Tamandua tetradactyla: one gene and its partners. The protein of the gene in region 2 binds, or shares a complex with, the protein of the main gene of each other region. Links are inferred from orthologs where the notes say so. Each region holds a gene or a part of one and is shown on either strand. Other genes may lie near its edges.

The links. Proteins that work in one complex are often made in the same cells at the same time.
Region 1: PRPF8 (region 2) and LSM4 share a complex: the UniProt entries of both Homo sapiens proteins name them as parts of the U4/U6-U5 tri-snRNP complex. The link is inferred for Tamandua tetradactyla from reciprocal best matches to the Homo sapiens genes PRPF8 and LSM4.
Region 3: PRPF8 (region 2) and LSM7 share a complex: the UniProt entries of both Homo sapiens proteins name them as parts of the U4/U6-U5 tri-snRNP complex. The link is inferred for Tamandua tetradactyla from reciprocal best matches to the Homo sapiens genes PRPF8 and LSM7.

Annotation. Positions count from the first base shown.
Region 1 is NC_135337.1:96,200,266-96,207,396, forward strand, and holds the start of LSM4 (U6 snRNA-associated Sm-like protein LSm4), read left to right. Parts: upstream 1-4,119; 5' UTR 4,120-4,230; coding exon 4,231-4,233; intron 4,234-6,651; coding exon 6,652-6,693; intron 6,694-7,131. UniProt on the Homo sapiens protein: Plays a role in pre-mRNA splicing as component of the U4/U6-U5 tri-snRNP complex that is involved in spliceosome assembly, and as component of the precatalytic spliceosome (spliceosome B complex).
Region 2 is NC_135332.1:55,446,010-55,453,069, forward strand, and holds the start of PRPF8 (pre-mRNA-processing-splicing factor 8), read right to left. Parts: upstream 3,016-7,060; 5' UTR 2,906-3,015; intron 2,739-2,905; 5' UTR 2,728-2,738; coding exon 2,628-2,727; intron 2,125-2,627; coding exon 1,956-2,124; intron 1,006-1,955; coding exon 841-1,005; intron 757-840; coding exon 538-756; intron 411-537; coding exon 198-410; intron 79-197; coding exon 1-78. UniProt on the Homo sapiens protein: Plays a role in pre-mRNA splicing as core component of precatalytic, catalytic and postcatalytic spliceosomal complexes, both of the predominant U2-type spliceosome and the minor U12-type spliceosome.
Region 3 is NC_135337.1:80,543,068-80,550,210, forward strand, and holds the start of LSM7 (U6 snRNA-associated Sm-like protein LSm7), read left to right. Parts: upstream 1-4,131; 5' UTR 4,132-4,155; coding exon 4,156-4,161; intron 4,162-4,243; coding exon 4,244-4,334; intron 4,335-7,143. Other genes in the region: SPPL2B (signal peptide peptidase-like 2B), read right to left, coding at 3,955-4,026. UniProt on the Homo sapiens protein: Plays a role in pre-mRNA splicing as component of the U4/U6-U5 tri-snRNP complex that is involved in spliceosome assembly, and as component of the precatalytic spliceosome (spliceosome B complex).

The DNA.
Region 1 (7,131 bases), on a different chromosome or scaffold from region 2:
TAGACTAAGCTCCTGATATGGGCGTCGGTTATTTCTATGTCCCGGGGTGCTTTGCTCCTTGGAATGCGGGAGCCTGAGGCCCGGCATTGGGGTGTCCAGCTCTGCAGCGGCGTCCCCTGGCAGCAGCTGGCAGAGAGGCTGGCAAAGGGCTAGGCTCGGATGCAGGCTGAGCGGGGCTGGTCTGGTCAGGTGGGCACAGGGCAGGGGAGGGCAGTCAGTGCTTCTAGAGCCTCGGCTTCTCGGGGAGACCAAGGGACCAGAGGCTTACTTCGCCCACCATGTAAATTTTCTGTGGCCGACTATCTGACTTAACCCGCCAGGTCTATTTACTTGGACAACCTAAGTCAGCTTTATGTGGCTCGGAAGCTAGAAAGGGAAATGAATCTCAGCGTTCTGTCCAGGCTGATGTGCTATCCCGTTGAATCACAGAGTGTTTGCAGCATAAAATGAAAAGGGGCTTGCAATCCCCTTGAGGAACCGGGAAAGCACGGGACTCTGAATCTTCCCCACCTGGGGAATTCCTGCTGGCCTCTCAAGCAGCGGCACCGCCAGGTGTAGCAAGCCGAGCCCTCAATCCTGAGGCTCGCCCTTAGGAAACCGACTTCTGTAATGGCAAAGCTGAGCCTACTTAAAATTAGGCCTTAGGGTCACCCCCACTGAGCCTCCTTCATTGCTCAGATGTGGCCTCTGTCGCTAACTCTGCCAATAAACTCACAGCCTCTCCCTACATGGGACACAACTCCCAGGGGTGGAAGATTCCCTCGCAACGCGGGACAGAATCCCCATGGGTAACCCCCCTGACACCATGAGATGAGCAACAGATCCGGGGTCAAAAGGGGGAAAATAAATAAAATCAACTTTCAATCGCTAAGAGATTTCAGATTGAGCCGGGAGGTGCTGGGGGTCAGTCTCAAACAGGCTGCAGCCAGATTCTGCCCAGTGTTCCCCAAAACCCTATGGAGCACCCCAGTCCTATCTGAAATCTCTGTAGTTATTTCCCCAACGTGAGATAGGTGCAAACCATCTGATCACAATCCTTCTACTCCTTTTATTTAAACCTTTACTTTTTACTTATCAAGTTTACTTTCCTGTGACTTAAAGCCTCTGCATTGTTCCTATACTAGTTAAGTCCTGGAACCCAGTGGCACCAGTCTCTCCAGAACAACCAGTCTCACCCCCCTACCCCATAACACAGGTGCCCCTTTCCAGCATCAAGAAGTTAGAATTGATTTGGTACAAAATTCATATTTTGACTAGTGCATCTCCTAATGTAACTTATGTTGATAGCTTGATTGAACACCATAAGTACTTGGAATCTTGGGTAGGACATGAGATTTTGTCGGTTTGTCCAGGTGATGCCCCAATAAATCCCAGAGTGATTCGATCAGTGAGTGGAAAAATATTTGCAAAGAATGGTGAGAATGGGGGAAAATTCAACTTCCCAAGTTGAATTCTTGATATCTCACAAGCAGTGTAGACAACCAAAGCTATAAACTGAGCCCCGAGTCTTGGGGGTTGTTCATATGAAAATTACCCCACAAAGGACACTAAGCCTACTTAAAATTAGGCCTAAGAGTCACCCCCAAGAGAGCCTCTTTTGTTGCTCACACGTGGCCTCTCTCTCCAGCCAACACAACAAGCAAGCTCACCACCCTCCCCCTCTCTACGTGGGACATGACTCCCAGGGGTGTGTACCTTCCTGGCAACGTGGAACAGAAATCCTAGAATGAGCTGAGACTCAGCATCAAGGGATTGAGAAAACCTTTTCTACCAAAAGGGGAAAGAGAGAAATGAGACAAAATAAAGTGTCAGTGGCTGAGAGATTCCAAACAGAGTTGAGAGGTTATCCTGGAGGTTATTCTTACGCATTAAGTAGATATCACCTTGTTATTCAAGATGTAATGGAGAGGCTGGAGGGAACTGCCTGAAAACGTACAGCTGTTTGTCCCAGTACCCATGTTTCTTGAGGATGATTGAATAATGATATAGCTTTCACAATGTGACTGTGTGATTGTGAAAACCTTGTGTCTGATGCTCCTTTCATCTACCCTGTCAACAGACGAGTAGAACATATGGAATATAAACAAATAATAGGGGGAACAAATGTTAAAATAAAAAAATTAAAAAATATTAAAAATAAATTAAAAAAACAGAAAAAAAAAAAAGTTAGAATCGTCTTTGTCCAGCTATCCCGCAAGACTGAGGAAATGGAGAAGCAAGAGGAAGGAGATACAACCTAGAATTTAAAAATGAGTAAATGATTCCTGAATCATTATATTGATGCTTTTTTCCTTCTATGGTGTAGAATGACCAAAAGTTAATACCTGAAATTGCTGGAAGTGACTGAACTCGTTCCAGCCTTTGTGTGCCCTTACTATTGTGATTGTTTTGGCCTTGACCCAGCCATTGTTCATACTCGCTGCTGTGAAGATAACTGTTCTGTACCCCAGAAAAGACACACACTGCTTTAATGCATTCTTGTGGAGCAGACCTACAGTGGTGTGACCTTTCGGTCACGCTACTTTAATTCAGACGTGGCCCAAGCCCATTTCCGAAGGGTCTCCATCCTTTACTGGAGTCCTTTAAGAGCGCTCAGGGGGGCGATTTCAGAAAGAACCCCCCCCCCCAGGAGAAACTAAGAGAGAAACGCCCAGAGACATTTTGGAGATGGACCAGCAGACTGATCACGTGCCTTCCCACATGAAAGAAGAATTCCCCACGCCAGCAGCCTTTTCTCGGAGAAGGGATCTTTCTCTTTCTCTCTTTTTTTTAATGGGCAGGCACCGGGAATCGAACCCGGATCCTCTGGCATGACAGGCGAGCAGTCTGCCTGCTGAGCCACGGTGGCCCTGGGGATCTTTCTCTTGAAGCCATTTTCACGGCCTTAGAACCATAAATTTGTAACCTAATAAATCCCGTCGCAAAAGCCAACCCATTTCTGGTATATCGCATTTCAGCAGCTTTAGCAAACCGAAACACACTCCATCTTTCATTATTTGAATCCATAAAATATCCAACTCCTTAGACCCGGGGAGATAGACTTCCTGATCTACTTCACGCTTAGCAACACATTCTCTCTTTCACGGTGAAGGAGTTGGCCATTGGGTGCATCGGGCAGAGACCCCCCTGCTTTTCTTTAGTAACAGGTGCTGCGGGTTGAGCTGTGGCCCCAAGATGCACCTACCTCCTGGCTCGGGTACCTGCGCGTGTGCCTGATTTAGGAATGGGGCCTTTGCAGATGTCACTAAGCTAAGGGTTGCCAGGAGTCACCCTGGATTAGCGTGCGCCCTAAACCCCAGGACAGTTGTCCTTACAAGAGAGGAAAGGGAGAAGGCCACGTGAAGTGGGGCAGCCAGGACATGGGGGATGGCCGGCGGCCCCCGGGGGCTGGGAGAGGGGCGTGGAGCAGGCCTGCTCCCTCCCGCCTCCGGGCTCCCCAGCTGTGAGACCAACTGCGATGAAAGTCCCCAAGTGTGCGGGAATCCGTCCTGCAGCCCTGGGCCTGAATCCACCCGCCTGCTCCCCGGGCTCCCCGGGCTCCCGGGACTGGTTCCTAGGAGGGGGGGTTGCCAGGTTTGAGCATTTCCGCGTCTCCACGAGCAGGGGCGGAGCAGGTGCTCGGGGGTGACGGGTTGCACGCCCACGGGCAGAGCGCTTTCCCGGCCCGGCAATCCGTCCTCCCCGCGCCCCGTAGAGTGGCTACTATTATCCCTATCTCACAGGCGGTACACTGAGGCTCGGAGGGGCGCCGTCGGGATTCCAACCAGCGCAAGGCCCTCATTAAGTAACAACCACAATGGGGGCCATCAGGCCCGCTCCTGTCCCCCCCGGGCCGGGGCCGCAGCCGCCCAGCCGCCCGCCGCCGGCAGTGACAACCGCTGCCCACCACGTGGAGCTCGGGAGCCCGCGTGAGCGTCGCACGGCGCATGCGTCACTAACCACAAGGCCTCCTGCGCCGCCGCGCGCTGCCCCGCCCCCCTTTGCAGCCCTCGCCGCCGCGCTTTTCGGCCGCAGCCTTTTCTCCTCAGACGGGAAGTCGCCCCCGCCCCGCCCTCGTGCCCAGAAGCCGCCGCTCTGCCCGAGGATTGGTTACCCGGGCCCAGGGCCCTGTGTTGATTGGCTCGCGCCGCCGCCACTCCTCTTCGGCCTGGTGGCGCGCGGCGGAACGGCAGCCGGCGGGAGCGCGAGCGGCGACGGAAGTGGCTGGCTGGCCGGGTCCCCGCTGGCACCATGGTGAGGGCAGGCCGGCGGCGGGGCCTCGCCGGGAAGTGGGGTCGCGACGACCGGGGCCGCGGGGATCCGGGGGCGCGCATGCCTCGGGGCCCGAGCCCCGCCCCCGGCGCAGGCGGGGAAACTGAGGCCGGCCGCGCGCCGGGAGCGCGGGCCGGGCAGAGCACCCCCGCTCAGCCGTGCGGCGCATTCCAGGCTCCGCCGCGGCCCGTCCCGCACCGTCCTGGGCCGGGGAACAGGGCCCGAGGCCAGGCTTCCGCTCCGCCTGTCCCGGCGCACCGGGGAAGAAGGGAGGCCGCGCAGGGCTCGTGGCGCGCTCTCCGTCCGGCCCGAGGTCCGGTGTACAACCAGCGCCGCGCTGGGGAGACCTGCGCCGCATCCCGCTGGCCGGCAGGACCCGGAGGAGGGGTCCGCGAGGCCTCAGCCCCGTGGGGCCGCCCTTCGTTCCCATCTGTAGTGTCTCCTTGGAGCCTGTGCGAAGCGTGGGTGTTCAGGGCTATCTCCTGGAAATGGGCCGCCGGGGTCCTCGACTCCTGGCCCTACGGGAGGTTCCGTGCTCCCAGAGCAGACCCATAGAGACGCTCCCCTCATACGGGGCTGGGCCCCGGGGGAGCCCGAGAAGGGAATCACGGCCCCCTGTGGGGGTCCCGGAAGGCTTCCTGGGTGAGAGGCCACTCGGACCAGCCCTCCGTGGCTTTATGCCTGAGGTCTGCATGGCAGTCATAACGGGAGGGCCAGAGTGGCCCTTTCTCCTCCTGGTGGCATCTGGTGCATCTTCCTCTCCCTGGGGTGTCACGCCCCTGAGGACCAGTCTCTCACCCCTGCCTTCTCTCCAGCAGTTTGGGGCTGAGAATGTGGAAGGCTGGCAGAGGGCTCTGTCGTGGCCTGGACCGGCTTTGACCGGGGCACCTCCCAGTCCTGACGCCGCCTCATCTGTGAGGCAGGGACAGGCCCTGGGTATGGACCAAGTCCACACTCCCTTAAAATTTTCCAGGCCAGCAGGGGACTCGCCAGGGAGTTATAATAAATAAACAGAAGAAGAGACTGGCTGAGTCCTGTCCTGGAAACAGGCCCGGGGCAGGGGCGGTATCAGGACGCCCAGGGAGGTATGGGGGCAAAGGTCGCCAGGCAGAGTGGGCATGGTGTGCAGACAGGAGCAGGTCAGGGCAAGTGTTTTCTGCTAGATGAGCAGAAGCCTCTGGGGGGGCCGTGGCAGATGTCTCAGGCACTGCTTTGTGGGGAGGGGCTGCAGGGTCCTCCAGGGCCGTCCTGACCCTGGGTGCAGAGGTTGTGTCCACCGTATGAGGATGTCCATGGTCACCGTCGGGTGCTCCCAGGGTCACATGCAAACCGGGGTCTGCACCGGACACCCAGGCCTTTCCCCAGACTGGGTCCAACAGGCTTGAGCAAGCCCCCGCTTCAGGAGGTCATGACCCACCTGTTGTACAGCCCACACAAACCAGCCTGAGGCCCCTTTTCCCTCGGGGACTCCCCCAAGCCACCCAGAGGCGTTCTGGGCGTGGCCCCACACCATGCAGCCGTCCTTTCCCCTTATCTTGCCCTTCCAGGAAACCGGGTGAGGAAGTGGACGTGGGCCTGGCTTCCTGCTAGCACCAGGCCTTCCCTGGTGGTTCCTTGGGATAGCCGGGCAGTCCCACGTCTCCCCTCAGTAGAGGCCTGCGTGTCCCCCCACCTGGAAAAACAGGGTCCTGTGGACCCCAGAGTGTCCCTGGAGGGAGCTTCTCAGGAGGGGAGGCTAAGTCGGGTCACAGGGAAGTCTCCAGCCTCCCTGGGAGACAGTTCTCGTTTTCCTTGTGCACCAGCCGCCACACAGAGCCACAGTCTGCCCTCCGTGGTTGTTGTCTCGACAATGAAAAGAGCTGGCTTTAATTTTTTTCCCATCGTAAAAATCATATATGTAACTGTAAAAAAGATCTCTAATGATGGTAAAAGAAATTGAGTATCTTGAGTACTTAGTGGATCTGGATATGTCTCTAGAGAGCTCATCCTTTCTTTGTGGTGAATTTGCAATACCCACAGGCTTTTCTGGAATGTTCCCTCTCACCTGGTGAGTTCTCCTCTTTGCAAACCCAGCTCAGGTGTCACCAGCGGGGCCCGGCAGGGTTTTGGTCCAGTCCCGGCTGTCCTTTGGCGTGGCGTTTGGTGGCACTGGCTTCAGGCATGGGGTCAGCCGCAGCTTTGCTGCTCCCTGGCTCTAGCCCTGGGCCAGCTCCTGGGTCTTGTCCCCATGAGGCAGGTGCAGCGGGAGCTGCCGGGGTGTTGAGCAGATGGTGGCTCTGTGGGACGGACTGGCTCCTGGGGACCCCGTGGAACGCAGGTGGGGTGGGGATGAGGGTGGCGTAGGATCTGCCCCAGGTGCAGCCCCAGCAGCCCAAATCACGGCTTCTGCTTGCCTTTCAGCTCCCCCTGTCGCTGCTGAAGACGGCGCAGAACCACCCCATGGTGAGTGCGTGTTTGGGGGTTGGAGGTGACGCAGGCTCTGTGCGGGCCTGGATATGTGTGGACACAGGGGCCGCGGTTCTGCCGTGTCCAGATGGGCTCGTGGGGGGCATGTCGCCCAAGATGGCTTCTGTCCTCAGTGCTCGGTGGGGCACCTGTCCACGTCACACGACCTTTCCACTTGTGGGGTTCTCGTTGGTGTTTCATTCACAGTCCGTAAAGTCACAGCTGTTGAGGGGACGTTTCACTGTGAGCCGCTCGGGCCCCCTGCGTCTCCGTCTCCTTGGGTGACCAGTTCAGTGTAGTCCGCTCTTAGGGACCACAGCCTGTGGGGTGCAGACGCATGGGTTTCCCTGAACGGCTGTTTTCTGTTGCCGTGCGTACAGCCCTGCACTTCCCTTAAACCGTGCTCGCGTCCACGTCTCAGCGCTGTCAATTGCA
Region 2 (7,060 bases):
GCAATCTTGTATTCAGTGCGAATAGGCTGCCGGATGATGATCTTGTTAATATCATTGAATTCATTCCAATCTTCATCTCTAGGATACAAAAATCAAGGGTGAGCAGATTAATTCGGAAGTTACATTGGGATCGTAGGGACAAAAAGTAGATTTTAATCGACTCAAGGAACCTAAAATTCCTACTTTCTCCAACTTACTGTAGGTTGATGTCTCGAACAAGAGGTTCAAATTTGGGGCCTCCAGGAATGGCCATATTGAGTGCCTTGGAGGTAAAGAAGGCCTTGAGATCAAACAGATAGAAGTAGTTGTCATCTACCAAATCTGTCAGGAGCTGATTGGCCAGACGGTAGAGAGTGGACATCATGGGCAGTGTGAACTGCCAGCGCTGGTACGTGGAGCCATTCACATATCTAAGGGGAAAAAAAAGAGGAGCCCATGTCAGGAGTTATTCCAGCTAGTCAATCTATACCACATTTCCAGATACTCATCTGGGTTTCTAGAACTCCCACAGGAATCATAGCTCCAACCATCACTCACTTTCTGCTGTCCCTCAATGGCTGGTGGTCATAGAACCAGTCCAACACAGGGGCATCCTCCTCAGGGTCCAGCTCTAGCTGAATGGCTTCCAGTGGCTCAACATCTAGGATATTGTCAGCATAGTCCAAGGGTGGCTCCTCATCGTCAAAAGGGGGGAAACGCATCCTCTTGAAATGCCTCCTGTCTCTCTTTTCTCGACGCATCATAATCCACATTGACCTGGAAGGCAAGAATGTCACACAACGGTTCCTGCCCACTGACCCCAACTACCAACCCCATACACCATATCCCAGCCCTTCTTACCCCCACTGAGATATGTAGACAGGCTCAATGACCCAGGGAATCTCATTGACAAAGGAAATAGCTCCAGTGATGTGGTACAACACAGGGACATCCCGAATCTGCTCCCAAGGCATAGGCATGTTCTCTAAGAGCTTGAGGACTGCATGGGGCATGTACTTTAGGGCACTGCAGTATTAGGAAGAAAAGAGAAGGTAATCAGGCATGACAAGGAGTCCTATGTCCAAAAGTCACAGTATCACAGTAACACATTCTACAGAAAATCCTGCCTTAGAGGTATCCCATGACCAGGAACTGTCTCCCCCTCTGCAACTTCACCTCATGCTCCTCCTTCTCTTCAACTTCACAGTCTCACAACACTGGGTTATCAGTATCTCTAAATCATACCCTCTTGTCTAGCTTCCAGGCTGTCTCACATTCTCTGTACCCCAACCCCAAAAATGACAATATAATAGTCACCATAATTTATCATAACCATTTGTTTCACGTCTGTGGTGCCATTAGACCATGAGCTCATGAAGGCAGAGATCATTACTACCTTATTCACTGTTACGGCCCTATAATAGTTCTCAAAAAATTTCTTTGAAATAAACAGAACTTCCATGGCTGTCTTAGACCAGTTCATTAAGTGGCTAACATTTTTGTGTCCACATGAGACAGGGATTTGCTAAGGCCTTTGTATCTGTACTCACCCACCTTGGGGCCACAGAAACAAAAGAAATCAGAATCCTCACGGGTAAAAATATCCCGAAGCTCAGAATTCTGATCCAAGAGGAGTGTATTTACAGTGCAGGCAAAGTGAACAAAGTAACCCTTTCTGGGCTTTCACCCATTCAATCAGAAGGACATCTGAAGAAACGTGTTAGCAGCAATAGAACAAATGAAAGCTTCTGCACCAGATTAGGAAGAAAAATCAGATCAAAAAAGAACGTAACTGGAAGATTTGAAAATTATCACAGAATCCCAATCTGAAAATTCTGTAACCACAATGGGTTACCATTGTAGAGTCCCATTCCATAATGACAGAGTAGCTATCTATTCTATAGTACTATAACCTATGAGCAGGGAGAAAGGAAAGGAACCAAACGCCAACGAAATAATTCCAGGGTGTTCCTTACCCCAAGTAGACCCTTTTGTCATGCCGAAACTTCCTGTTGGTCATGTCTCCATGGTCCCGAATGATCTTCCTAACATGTTCTGGAGGCATGTCTTCCTTCTGAGCATCCACAAATCCAAACTTTCGCTTTTCTGCATAGCGCTTCGCCTGCAATTGCTGCCATTTTCGGGCTACAAAGGTACCTTCAGTTTAAAAGACTGCACACCTTAAACCTAATTATCCCACCTTTTGCTTTAGGGTAACCTCCTGCCAGGGCCAGCAAAGGACGGCAGGACACCCAGCAGGGAATCTAAGGGCTCTTGATCACTTCCCACACTTAAAACTTGTCACCTTACTGTTTTTTTTTTTTCATTGCACTTACCTGACATTATGCTACAGAGTTTAAACTTTTCATCTATTCCCTCACTACAATTTAAACCCTTTAAGGGCAGGACACTGTCTTTATGGCTATTGTATCCCTAGCGGTTGGATAAGCGCCTGCCAATAGTAGGCGCTTAGGAAAGACTCGATTCACTGAAAAATAAATAAATAAATGGTGCTAATAGGGGAGCTGGCAATAGAGGAGGCTGACCTGCCAAAATCTAAAGGCAAGCTAAAACCCGCTTCCGCGCACGCGCACACCCGTCACCACGTCTCGGGGCGCGCACGCGCAGGCCCCGCTCACGTTCCTCACCTTTCTCCTGCAGCTTCTCTTCTGACATATAATCTGGTAGCGGTGCTAGAGGGCCGGGCACTGGGTTACCCGGCCCTCGGTAAGGAAATACTCCGGCCATGCCGGGAGAATCTGGGGAGCGGCAGGAGAGAAAAATCAATCATCAGGGCCCAGGACCAAAACAAGAGAAGCCCGAACGCGCTCCTGAGGCCCCGCTACCCTCGTTGCAGTCTCTCCTGGGCCAACCCCCCCCGCCGCTCCGCCCGATGCCACCCCACGTCCCGCAGGCCACCACGCACCCCCACAGCCCCTCTCGCAGACCGCTCCTGTAGCTGCCGCCGCACAATGGCGGAAAATCTGCGTCCCCTCCGCGTTCCAAACGGGAAGTGCGCCACCGGGCTTTAGCAGTTAATCCAATAGGCGCCGATATCCTCGGATAGATTGGAGAGAGCACCAATTAAAGTTGCATAGCCTGCCGAGGGGGCGGGGCCATGCGCGGAAAGGTTTTGAACGCGAGGAGATGTAATCCGCCTAGGCGCAAGCCCCGCCCTGCATGCGTCGGAGGCCCTTGGCGGCTAGTGACCGACCGCGAAACGAGAGGACACTAAAGCGTGCAGAGCTGTAATGAATTTGTCAAAGTTGCACATTGTTGTACTATAGTGAGATAGCACCTCGCACCCATTAGAATGACTTCTATTAAAGAAAACGGAAAATGGCAACTGCAGGAAGGGCTGTGGAGCGACGGGAACGCTCTTTGTTGTCGGAATGTAAAATGGGGCAGCCAATGTGAAAACGGTTTGGCAATTCTTCAGAAACTTAAGTGTAGAATTACCATATATCCCAGCAATCCCACTTCTAGGTATATACCCAGAAGAATTCAAAGCAGGGACTCAAATAGAAATTTGCACACCGATGTTTGTAGCAGCATTAATCACAGTTGCCAAATGATTTTGGAAGCAACCCGAGTTGGTTAAACAAATGAATGGATAAATAAGATGTGATATAACGTGCAATGAAATGTTATTTAGTTTAAAAAGGAATGAAGTTAAGATGTTTGCTACCACATTGATAAACCTTGAAGACATCCTGTTAGGTGAAATAAGCCAGACATAAAAGGACAAATATTGCATAATCTCATTTATGTGAAATAAGCAGACTATTCATATCTGTAAGGTCAGAAACTAGAATATAGGTTACCAGAAAAGGGATTGGGGAGTTAAAATTTAATTGGTATGGAGTTTCTGTTTGGGGTGATGACAAAATTTTGGCAATGGATGTTGGGTATGGAGAAACAACTTTGAATGTGTTATTAACACTGCGTAATTATGTATTTGAAAAGGGATAAAAAGGGAATTTTGTATTTGAAAAGGGATGAAAATCCATAGAACTGTTCAATGCAAAGAGTGAACCCTAATGTAAACAGTGCGCTGAAGTTAACAACTTAATACTTATAATAATAGTTTCATCAGTTATAACAAAGGTACCACACTAATGCAAAATGTTAATAACAGGAAAAACTGAGTGTGTGGAGGGGGGGTATATGGAAACTGTATACTTTCTGCATGATATTCCTGTAAATCTCCAACTGTTCTAATTTTAAAAAAAAAACACTTTTTTTTAAATCTATTCTCTTAAAGTCAGACTTGAGATGCAGTACTAACTCCATCCAGGTCAAGCTATCCTTTGTTCTTACATTCTTTCATTTAACCATCAACCATTGAGTGTCACAAAGTCCCAAGTGTTGGGGATATAGCCAGGGAACCGACAGCCTCAAGCTCCCACAGAGTTCACAGGAGAGTAGGGAGAGCAAACTTGAAACCAGGTAATTTCTATGAGGTGTGATGGGAGCTCCAGGCAGGCTACTTCACCGTGCTACATACTCAAGGAGGAGTTAGTCAATTATGTTAGAACAAGAGGAGGCCATGGGAAACTCATTGCTGGGTATCTTTCCCCCCCCACTCAAGCTCCATCCTCATTTCTCTCTCTGGTAGTGATTTTCATTATAAGATGGGGTGAATAATGGACACCCTATAAAAGTTCCTTGAGTCCCTCAAGCTCTGCCTATGTCCTGCTACCTGAATTCCTCACCATCTCCTGCCTCTTGCTCTATCCTTTGCACTGTTTCTAATAACAACTTTAAATCTCAGTCAACAAACTAGTTTACGGTGGAGAATATGGAAGAAATGTAACCCTTTCTCAGTGTAGTTGGGAATTTAGGTCTGCAATAAAACAATTAGAGGAAAATGCGAGAGAGTTCAGGCAAGTGCTGGTTGGTGTGGAGTTTCATGTAATTCAGAGACAGGAGAGCAGAATATTAAAGGGGATTTGACTGAGTTGGTGGGATGCGAATGATTTAATAGGAGTAAAGAAAGGGGGAGGGAAAAGGAATGCCAGGTGATGGAAACTGTTAGAGTAAGAATTTAGAAAGAGGTACAAACTTGGTGTGTTCTGAGAACAATGAGGAGACCAACCTGACTGAGGTAGTGGCATCATCATTACCAAGTTTGTTATTGTTATTGCCATTACTATCATGTGATGACATTTATAACACCTGTATAAGCTTCACTATGTGGCATTGCTCTAAACAGTGGTTGAACTGTAAAATGGTCCAGCCAGTGTGGAAAACTGTTTAGGGAGTCTTCAGAAAGTTGAAGTATAGAACTACCACATACTCCAGCAATACCTCATCTAGGTATATACCAAAAAATCCTAGCACATTCTGCAGTTTCCTTAGTAGTGTTGTCTCGATGTCATCTTCTGGTTTTGATAGATGTACGATGATTGCATGAGAAGTTATTAAGCTGGGCGAAGGGAACAAGGGAATTTTTTTAAAAGCATTATTGAGATATAATGTGCAAACCTTAAAGTTCACCCATTTAAAGGGTAGCATTCAGTGGGTCTTTAGTACATTCAGAGTTGTGCAATCATCACCATTTTCTAGTTCCAGAATATTTTCATCATCCCCCAAAGAAGCCTTTTATCTTTTAGCACTGTCTCTCTTATTTCCTCCCCCGACTCCTAACCTGCAGCCCTAGGCAACCACTAATCTACTTTCTGCCTCTATAAATTTGTCTATTCTGGATTGTTCATATAACAGCATCATGCAACATGTGGTCTTTTGTGATTGGCTTCTTTCACTTAACATAATGCTTTTAAGGTTCATTCTTATGATAGCATGTATTAGTATTTCATTCCTTTTTATGACCAAATAATATTTCATTGTACAGATATACCACATTAACTTTGGATTGTTTCTGCTTTTTTATTGTTGTGAATACAATGTCCAAAATAATAATGTTGTTATGAACGTTTGTGTACAAGTTTTTGCATGGGCATATGTTTTCATTTCTCTTGGGGTTTGTTCTAGCTTGCTAGCTGCTGAAATGCAACACAACAGAGATGGCTTGGCTTTCAACAAGAGGGGATTTATTTAGCTGATGTATAGTTCTTCAGAGGAAAGTCAGCTAACTTTCAACTGAGGTTCTTTCTTACACGGCAAGGCACAGGGCAATCTCTGCTGGCCTTCTCTCCAGGCCTCTGGGTTCCAACAGCTTTCCCGGGGATGATTCCTTTCTGCATCTCCAAAGGCCTGGGCTGAGCTGCAAGTGCTGAGATGAGGTATGATAGACTGCTTGGGCTGTGCTACACTGAGCTCTCTCATTTAAGCACCAGCCAATTAAATCAAACATCATTCATTGCAGCAGGCACGCCTCCTAGCCGACTGCAGATGTAATCAGCAACAGAGGAGATTCACATGCCATTGGCTCATGTCCACAGCAGTAGAACTAGGCACCTTCACCTAGCCAAGTTGACACCTGAATCTAACTACCACAGGGTTCATACGTAGGAGTGGAATTGCTTGGTCATGTAGTTACTCCATGTTTAATCTTCGAGGAACTGCCAGACTGTTTTCCAAAGTGGCTATACAATTTTATATTTCTGCCAGTAAATTATTAGGATTCCAGTTTTTCCACTCTTTCACTGTGATGTTTAATTTCATGTGTCAATGTAACTGAATGATAGCGCCCAGTTTATATGGTCAAGCAATTACTGGTCTGATTTTTACTGTGAGGATATTTCATGGATTTATATCATTAGTCATCTATTGCATCTGTGGCTGGTTACATCTACAATTAGCAATGGAGATTGCTTTCAACAAGTAGAGGAATCTCCTCATCCAATCAGTAAAAGGCCTTAGTAAAGCGAGACCTGATTATTTCGGCAGTCACACCGAAGAATTTCTCTCTCTACTCCAGACAGCCAGCTTCTGAATAATTCATTACCTTCATTGAAGTTCCCAACTTGAGGCTTCTCACCTTCATTGATCTTCCAACTTGCAACGTGCCGTAAAGAATTCAGATGTCATGTGACCCAATTCCTATAATAAATCTCTTGATATTTATATATGTATAACTTGTTAGACATATATAAATGGTTCTGTCTTTGAGAACCCT
Region 3 (7,143 bases), on a different chromosome or scaffold from region 2:
TGGGCAGCTCCCCAGGGTCTACCAGTAGGATGAGGGATCCCAGGAGAGAAGCCTTATGCTAGACACTGCGGGGATCCCCCAAGGTGGCCCTCCCCAGCCCTGGCTGTCTCCTAGTGCCTGCCCTGAAGAATCCCCAGGTAGAGCCTGGCTGGGCCCCAAAGGGCCAGCAATGAGGAAGGTCCTCTGGGTCCCCCTGAGCACCTGCCCAGGTACAAACAGCCAGCAACTGCCCACCTGAGGTACATACAAGGGATAGGAACACAGACAGGAGGCTCCTGGAGGTTAAGGAGGGCTGGGCCTTCAAGGGACATGGCAAAGCGGGCCTGGGGAGGGGTTCGGATCAGACCAGGGGTCTTGATGCACATGGGCCCCTGGCTCCGGGACTCAGTAAAATCACATCGGGAGCTCCTCCTGTCATGCCTGCCAACCCCCGTTTTGTGGGATATGGGCTTTTAGAGGAAAAGCCCCACAAGACCACACACATGAGCCCCAGGCCCAAGCCTGGCCCCTCCCCAGCAGCCTGCTGACCATGTGCCCCAAGCGAGGGGCTACAGGGACCCCAGACACCAGCTCAGGCGCAGTGCCTTCTCTGTCATCTCAGGCAGGAGCCGGACCCCTGGTGCCAGCCATCAAATGAGAATCAGGCCCATCCTCACTGTGCTGGTCAGGGGCACACCCAGAGAAGTTGAGTTTTGAAGGTGCCCTGCCCTGAAGAAGCTGGGCAGGGGGCCACCATCCCTGCAGCCTCAGGAGGGAAGGGAGGGCCTGAAGTTGTGGACAGGGGTGCTGCACTAAGGTGGCTTCCCACTCCCCCAGCCTCTCCCACTGGCAAACCACTGGGTACCTCTTGACCCTGAGGCAGAACTAGGAGCCCCTTCCTCCCAGACTCGCCCCAGAGGCCACCCCTCTACAGCAGGGGGCCCGGAGTCTGTGCTGGCCAGATGCCCACTCAAGTAGGTCACGGCCACAGACAGGGCCTTGCTGTCAGCAAGTCTGCTCCTCGGCAGAGGTCAGAAACCAACACCCCACAGGCCAAATGCAGAGCCCCCTGCTTCTGTAAATAAAAGTTTTACAGGCACACAGCCACGCCCTCTCACTGCTTCTGAATGCAAAAGCAGAGTCCAGCGGCTGTAACAGGGCACATGCAGACGTATGGCACCCAAAGTATCCACTGCTGAGCGCTTCGCAAGACACAGCTGCTGACGCCCATTTTGTGGGATACGGGCTTTTAGAGGAAAAGCTTTCATTGTGTAAAATGAAAATTGATAGAAACTGTTCCTTCGAAAAAGGTGACTTAAGAATACAAAACAGCTTTCACAGGTTCTCCTTCCCAAAATTTGAAGAACTGCCTTCAAAAAAAAAAAAACTGTGATTTTATCAAACCTCAGAGAAGGCAAGCTCTTGCCTTGAATAGTTTTTCTCACCTGCTGAGCTAAAAGAACCAGGGAAGGTTCTTCAAAAGGATGCAGATTCTGAGTTCTCGTACAATCATTCTGAATTGGGAGAACCGAGACAGACAGCCTTCCAACACCTCACAGCTAACACACACTCAGGGGCTCTGTAGCGGCTCCATGGACACATAAGCCTCAGGAGAGTTTTAAAAAAAACTGATGCATCAGGGCTATGGGGCGGACTCCTTCTAAGAGATATTTCAGGAAAGGGTGAAAAACAAGGATGCAGGAACTTTGGAAAAAGATGTCATGGTGGCAGGGTGAAGGGGGACACTGGAGGGGGGAGGTAGGGGCAGGAGGGGCTGTGGAGGGTCCATGTGGGGTGAGGGGGCTACAGAGGGGTGGTAAAGGGAGCTTGTGGGGGCTGCAGAGGGGATCTCTGATCAACTCAGGCCTGAGTAACCAGCCCCGCAGGCCTCTGCATCTCCTCTCACAGGCTTTGTTGTTACTGAGAAGGGGGATATAATCTGGAGAGGCCGACTCACTTGTCCAGGGTTACCAAATGGTGGCAAGTGAATGTGGGATCATCATCAAGCAATCTCCAAGACAGCCAGTCTTGGGAGTCAGGACTCAAACACCCCCGCTTCCACTGCCCTGACTCAGAAGCCAAGTGGGCAGAGCCCCAGAGCCGCAGTCAGCATGGGCTCCCTGGTATGCCTGTTGCAACTAGGCTATTGGGAGGGTAGGGCCACGTCCCCCTGGCACTCCTCAGGAGCATTCCTGGGCTCCCCATGCTCAGGGCAAAGCATGAACACCTCAGCAACAAGAGCCCTCAGAATCTGGTTCTAACCTGTCTGGCCCATGCCCTGAACTCCAGCCCTGCCTTGTGCCTTCTGCCTGCAGCTTTGCTGGGGGACCCCATTCCCTTCCTCCATTCCAGGTCCATCTGTGCCTCCTTCACAGCGACACCTCCTCCAGGGGGGGTAGGTGAGCTCCCCTCATACCTATACCACCCTATGCACCAAACATAGCAAGCCCCCTCACCAGTCCCTAAAATAAGTCATCAGCCTTCTCACCCACTGTTCCCACTGCCTACAACAGCCTCTCCCTTCCCAACCTGGCAAACTCCTACGCATCCTTCAAAACACTCCTAGGGGGTCACTGCTTCTGAAAAGCCTTTCCGGGTCATCCCCTCCATGGCATTCCCATAATGCATTGCCCATTTCCTGCTTTTCTCTCATTGGGAAGATCTTCAGAGCTCAAATTCCCCTATTCAAATTGCTCACGAACTGGTGAGGAAGGCCAGAAAACAGAGTGTGATCAGGCTACAATGGGGGAAGAAGGGGAGGGCCTGAAGCAGCTGGGGAAGAGGTATCTCTGCACTTGTGAGACTGCAGGACTTGCAGGGCCAGAAGTGGAGGAGGGGTATTTGAGGGCTATAAAAGCGACTAGAGCTCAAGCTGTCCTCCATAAATGCCTCCCCATTAGGGAGAGCTGAAAAGGGAGGGAAGTTCCCAGAGCAGCCGGATCACAAAGAAAGGCCTTTCTCAATGAGACAGGAAGCCGCTGGAAGCTCTCATCTGGAAGTGACCAGAGCTGACACACATTTGGAAAAGATTGCTCCTGCTGTGTTGCAAATGGCTTGGTAGGGGATTGCTGGGGGAAGTCAACAGTGGCCAAAGGGAGATCTGACAGGAACTACAGCAGAGAGAAGCAGACTGAGAGGAGCAGAGAGATTCGAAAGACCTTTTAAGTTAGAATTGCAAGAGAGGAGTCAAGGTTAACTGCCCACCAGCGCATCTGGAGAGCTCTTAGGGGCACTTTTGCCTGGGCTGCAGCGCTTGGGAGGAAGGGAGAGTTTGGAAAGATGAGTTTATGACAATACACATCAGCTACCTCCTTGTCCACTCTATCCTTTAGAACCAGAGCCCCTTAACGCTAAATAACAACATACTGAGCCCAGCAGGCTGGTCACTCCTTGTAGCATAGGAATGAACCCACAAAACTCTCCTCTCATCCCCCCTTTTACAGACAAGCAACTGACCCCCAAGAGGGAACTCCCTTGTCCAAGGTCAGAGAGTAAAAGGGAGCGGGGATTCGCTCCCCGACGCTGCCAGGCCTACGGTCCTGCCCTGCCTTGACCACAATCCCTGGGAGGAGTGCTAGCATCATGCCCGTTTTTGCATACGGGAAAACTGAGGCTTGGACAGGGGCAGCCACCTGCCCCAGGCCACGCAGCCGGGGAGGGGCGGACGGTGACTCCGAGACCGACAAGCGGAACCGTACAGAAGGGAGGGACGGGGTCCCGCAAACTACAACCCCGGCTGGGACGGAGTGACGCTGTAACTGGGAAGGATTTCCTCGACGGGGAAGGAGTACAGGCCAGAGAACAGCCCGCAAGGTCACGGCCGGTCCCCAGACCCCGAGGGCCGCCAGCGCGGGGTCGCGGGTCCCCGAGGCTGGTCCCAAGCCCGGGCCGGGTGGGTTTCTGCTAGGGGCCCGAGGGACGCGGAACGGGGGGAGCCGCAGCCTTCGGGACTGTCGGGCCCGGCGTGGCCCTCACCTGGGCCGCGAGAAGGAGAAAGGCGGTCCCGAGCCGCGCCAGCGCCAGCGCCGCCGCCGCCGCCGCCGCCATGTCAGCCGGTCCCCGCCGCAGCCGTCGGCCGACGTTTCCCGGCAACTCCCGGGGCGCCGGGGCGCTGGGGCGCAGGGGCGCGCATGCGCCAGAAGGCCGCGCCTGCGCAGAGCGGTGCGGGGCGGCAAGATGGCGGTGAGCGCGCGGAGGTGTGCCGGGGCGGGCGGCGCGAGGCCGAGACACGCTCTCCGCCTCACGAGGTCTGCTTTCCACACAGGACAAAGAGAAGAAGAAGAAGGAGAGCATTTTGGATCTGTCCAAATACATCGACAAGACGATCCGCGTGAAGTTTCAGGGAGGCCGCGAAGGTGAGGACCCCGCCACCCAGCACCCTCCTTGAACAATTTAAAATAAATAGTAACATCAATTATCATAACTTGCACTTAGGCAGCTCGTTCAATGAGCAGACACGGCTTTAAGCGCTTTAGATGGACTAACTCGTTCAATCCTAACACCGGGAGGTAGGTACTGTTGTGCCCATTTTGCAGACGGGGAGACTGAGGCACAAACTTAACGCAAAGTCACAGCGGCGCGGCCAGGATCGGGATTCACGAGCTCGCTTCCTTTGCGGTCTTGTCTTTCCATCTCCTGCCAGGGGGAGGGGGGCGCCCCGGGGTGGGGGGGCCGCCCCAGCACCTCACTGGTTTGCCGGCTATGTTCATGCCCCCCCTTCCTCAGCCTCACCGCAGTTGACCCTGGGGACCTGATAGGTCCTGGGCACTTCAGGATTTTGACTTGCATCCCTGGCCTCTACCCATTCGATGCCAGTGCCATGCACTACCACCCCCCATCCAAAAACGTCTTAAGTCGTTGGTAATTAATGTAGCATTGAAAACTAATACAAACGTGTTGAAAAGCAAAAGATGTGTCTCATTCATATATCCTGGCGCATGGTGTAGATTGAGTTAACATTTGTTCAAATTCAGAGTCTTACTTCTACCAAATACCTAGTCTAGCTATCACTGCGCTGCATTGCCAAATTCCCCTGGGGGGCAAATTCGCCCCAGCTTGAGAATGGGGCCCCACCTTCAGTCTCCTCTCAGAGGGCAGAGGGACCTGTTAAAAACAGAAACTGAATCTCAAGTTGCTCCCTGCTGACTCCTCTTTCTTTTTTTTCTTTTTTTTTTTTTTTTTCACATGGGCAGGCACTGGGAATCGAACCCGGGTCCTCTGGCATGGCAGGCAAGCATTCTTGCCGCTGAGCCATGGTGGCCTGCCCTGGTGACTCCTCTTTGTTTAAGATAAAAAATGGCCTGTGGGGTGGGGCGTGCAAGGGGGGGGGGGGGTGCAACCTGTGAAGCACGTGTTTTTTCTTTATCTGGAATGTTTGTACCAGAATAACTCCCAGAGTCATTCTCTTTCTCCCAGATCAAGGTTGTTGTCTCTGGGAAGCCTTCTCTGCCCACCTCCATCCTCAGGCAAGGCCCTTGGTTATAGGTTCCTGGTAGTTGCCTATCACAGTTTGCGAGTTTATGCTCCTTAATATGATGCTTAATCTTGCAGCTGACTCTTTGACTGGAATCTAAAAAATTCTACATGGTAAGTGCCCTGAGGATAGGGACCAAGTCGAGTTCTGCTAACTTGTGTGGGCAGTGGCTCTGCTGTCTAACTCTGGGTTCTGGTTCTAACCCATCAATTAGATGGCACAGGTTAGAATCCCAGCTCTTCCACGCGCTGGCTGTGGGACTTTGCACAAGTTACTATCCTCTCTTAGCCTCAGTTTCCTCATTTGTCAAATCCTTATCAGGTTGTGGTGATAATCAAAGGGCATAAGGCATGTTTAGCAGGGTACCTAGCACATAGCTTTTTTTTCTTGTATAATATATATACAAAGCAAAGAAAAAAGCAATAGTTTTCAAAGCACTCTTCAATAAATAGTTACAGGACAGAGCGTAGTGTGGGACATAGCTTTTGACCACATTTCATTTATTCAGCAAACTTTGAGCCTCAGTTTCTTTATTTCACAGGACAGATCTCCTGATCCCTTCTTCCCCAAGGTATAGGCAATTGGGTAGCATCTGAGATGTTGAAAACACAGCGCTTGAAAGAGTAGGTGCCTGGCAGAATTTGAATAGAATTTGAATCCAAATAAATGTTGGCTCAATTTATACTATGCTGGAACTGGGATATACGGATGAGATACAACTCTTGCTTTTCAAAACATTTGCCTTAGTTTTCTATGCTATGTACCAAATTACCACAAGTGTAGCACCTTAAGCAACAAATTTATGATGTCTTCATTTCTGGAGGTCAGGAGTCCAGGGGCCTCTGTCTCAGAGTCTCCCACAAGGTTGCAATCCAAGGTGTTGCTGTGGGACCACGGCCATCTCAGGTACAGGGTCCTTTTCCAGGCTCACTGGTTGTTGGCAGAATTCAGTTCCTTGAATTTGTTGGACTGAGATCCCTGTTTTCTGTCTAGTGCCCTGAGCTCCCAGTCCACGTGGCCCCTCCACCACCTGGCTGTTTGCTCCTTCAGGGCCAACAGGAGAATCTCGTAGAACAAGTATAGTTACTAGTACAATTATAAAAGTATTCTTTCAAGATAAAAGTGTCTTTCATGAAGTGTAACAATACGCTACACTAATGGAAGGGATTAATAGTAGGGCGATATATGGGGGCCCTGAATCTTGTACATGATTTTTCTGTAAACCTACAATTTCTCTAATCAAAAAAAAAGTGTCCATTCCCTTTATGGGCTCACCTGATTAGTTCAGGCCCACCCCAATTAATCCGCCTTTGGATTAACTCAAAAGTCAACTGATTTTGGAGGGTGCAAGGGTAGCTCAGTGGTAGAATTCTCCCCTGCCGTGCAGGAGACTTGGGTTCGATTCCTGATCCATGCACTTCCCCCAAAAAAACAAACAAACAAGCAAAACAAACACAAAAATTCAACAAATGGTGCTACAGTAATGGGATACTCACATGGAAAAAGAATGAAATTATTTTTCTTTTTTTTTGTATAGCATACAAAAAAAAACAGTCAATGGATTTGGGGACCTTAATTATGTCTGCAAAATATCGTCATCTTTATCACATCACTTAATCACAGGAGTGGCATTCCCATCACATTCACTGGTCCCATCCCGCACCCAAGGGTGTGCCCACCTACCACAGTGC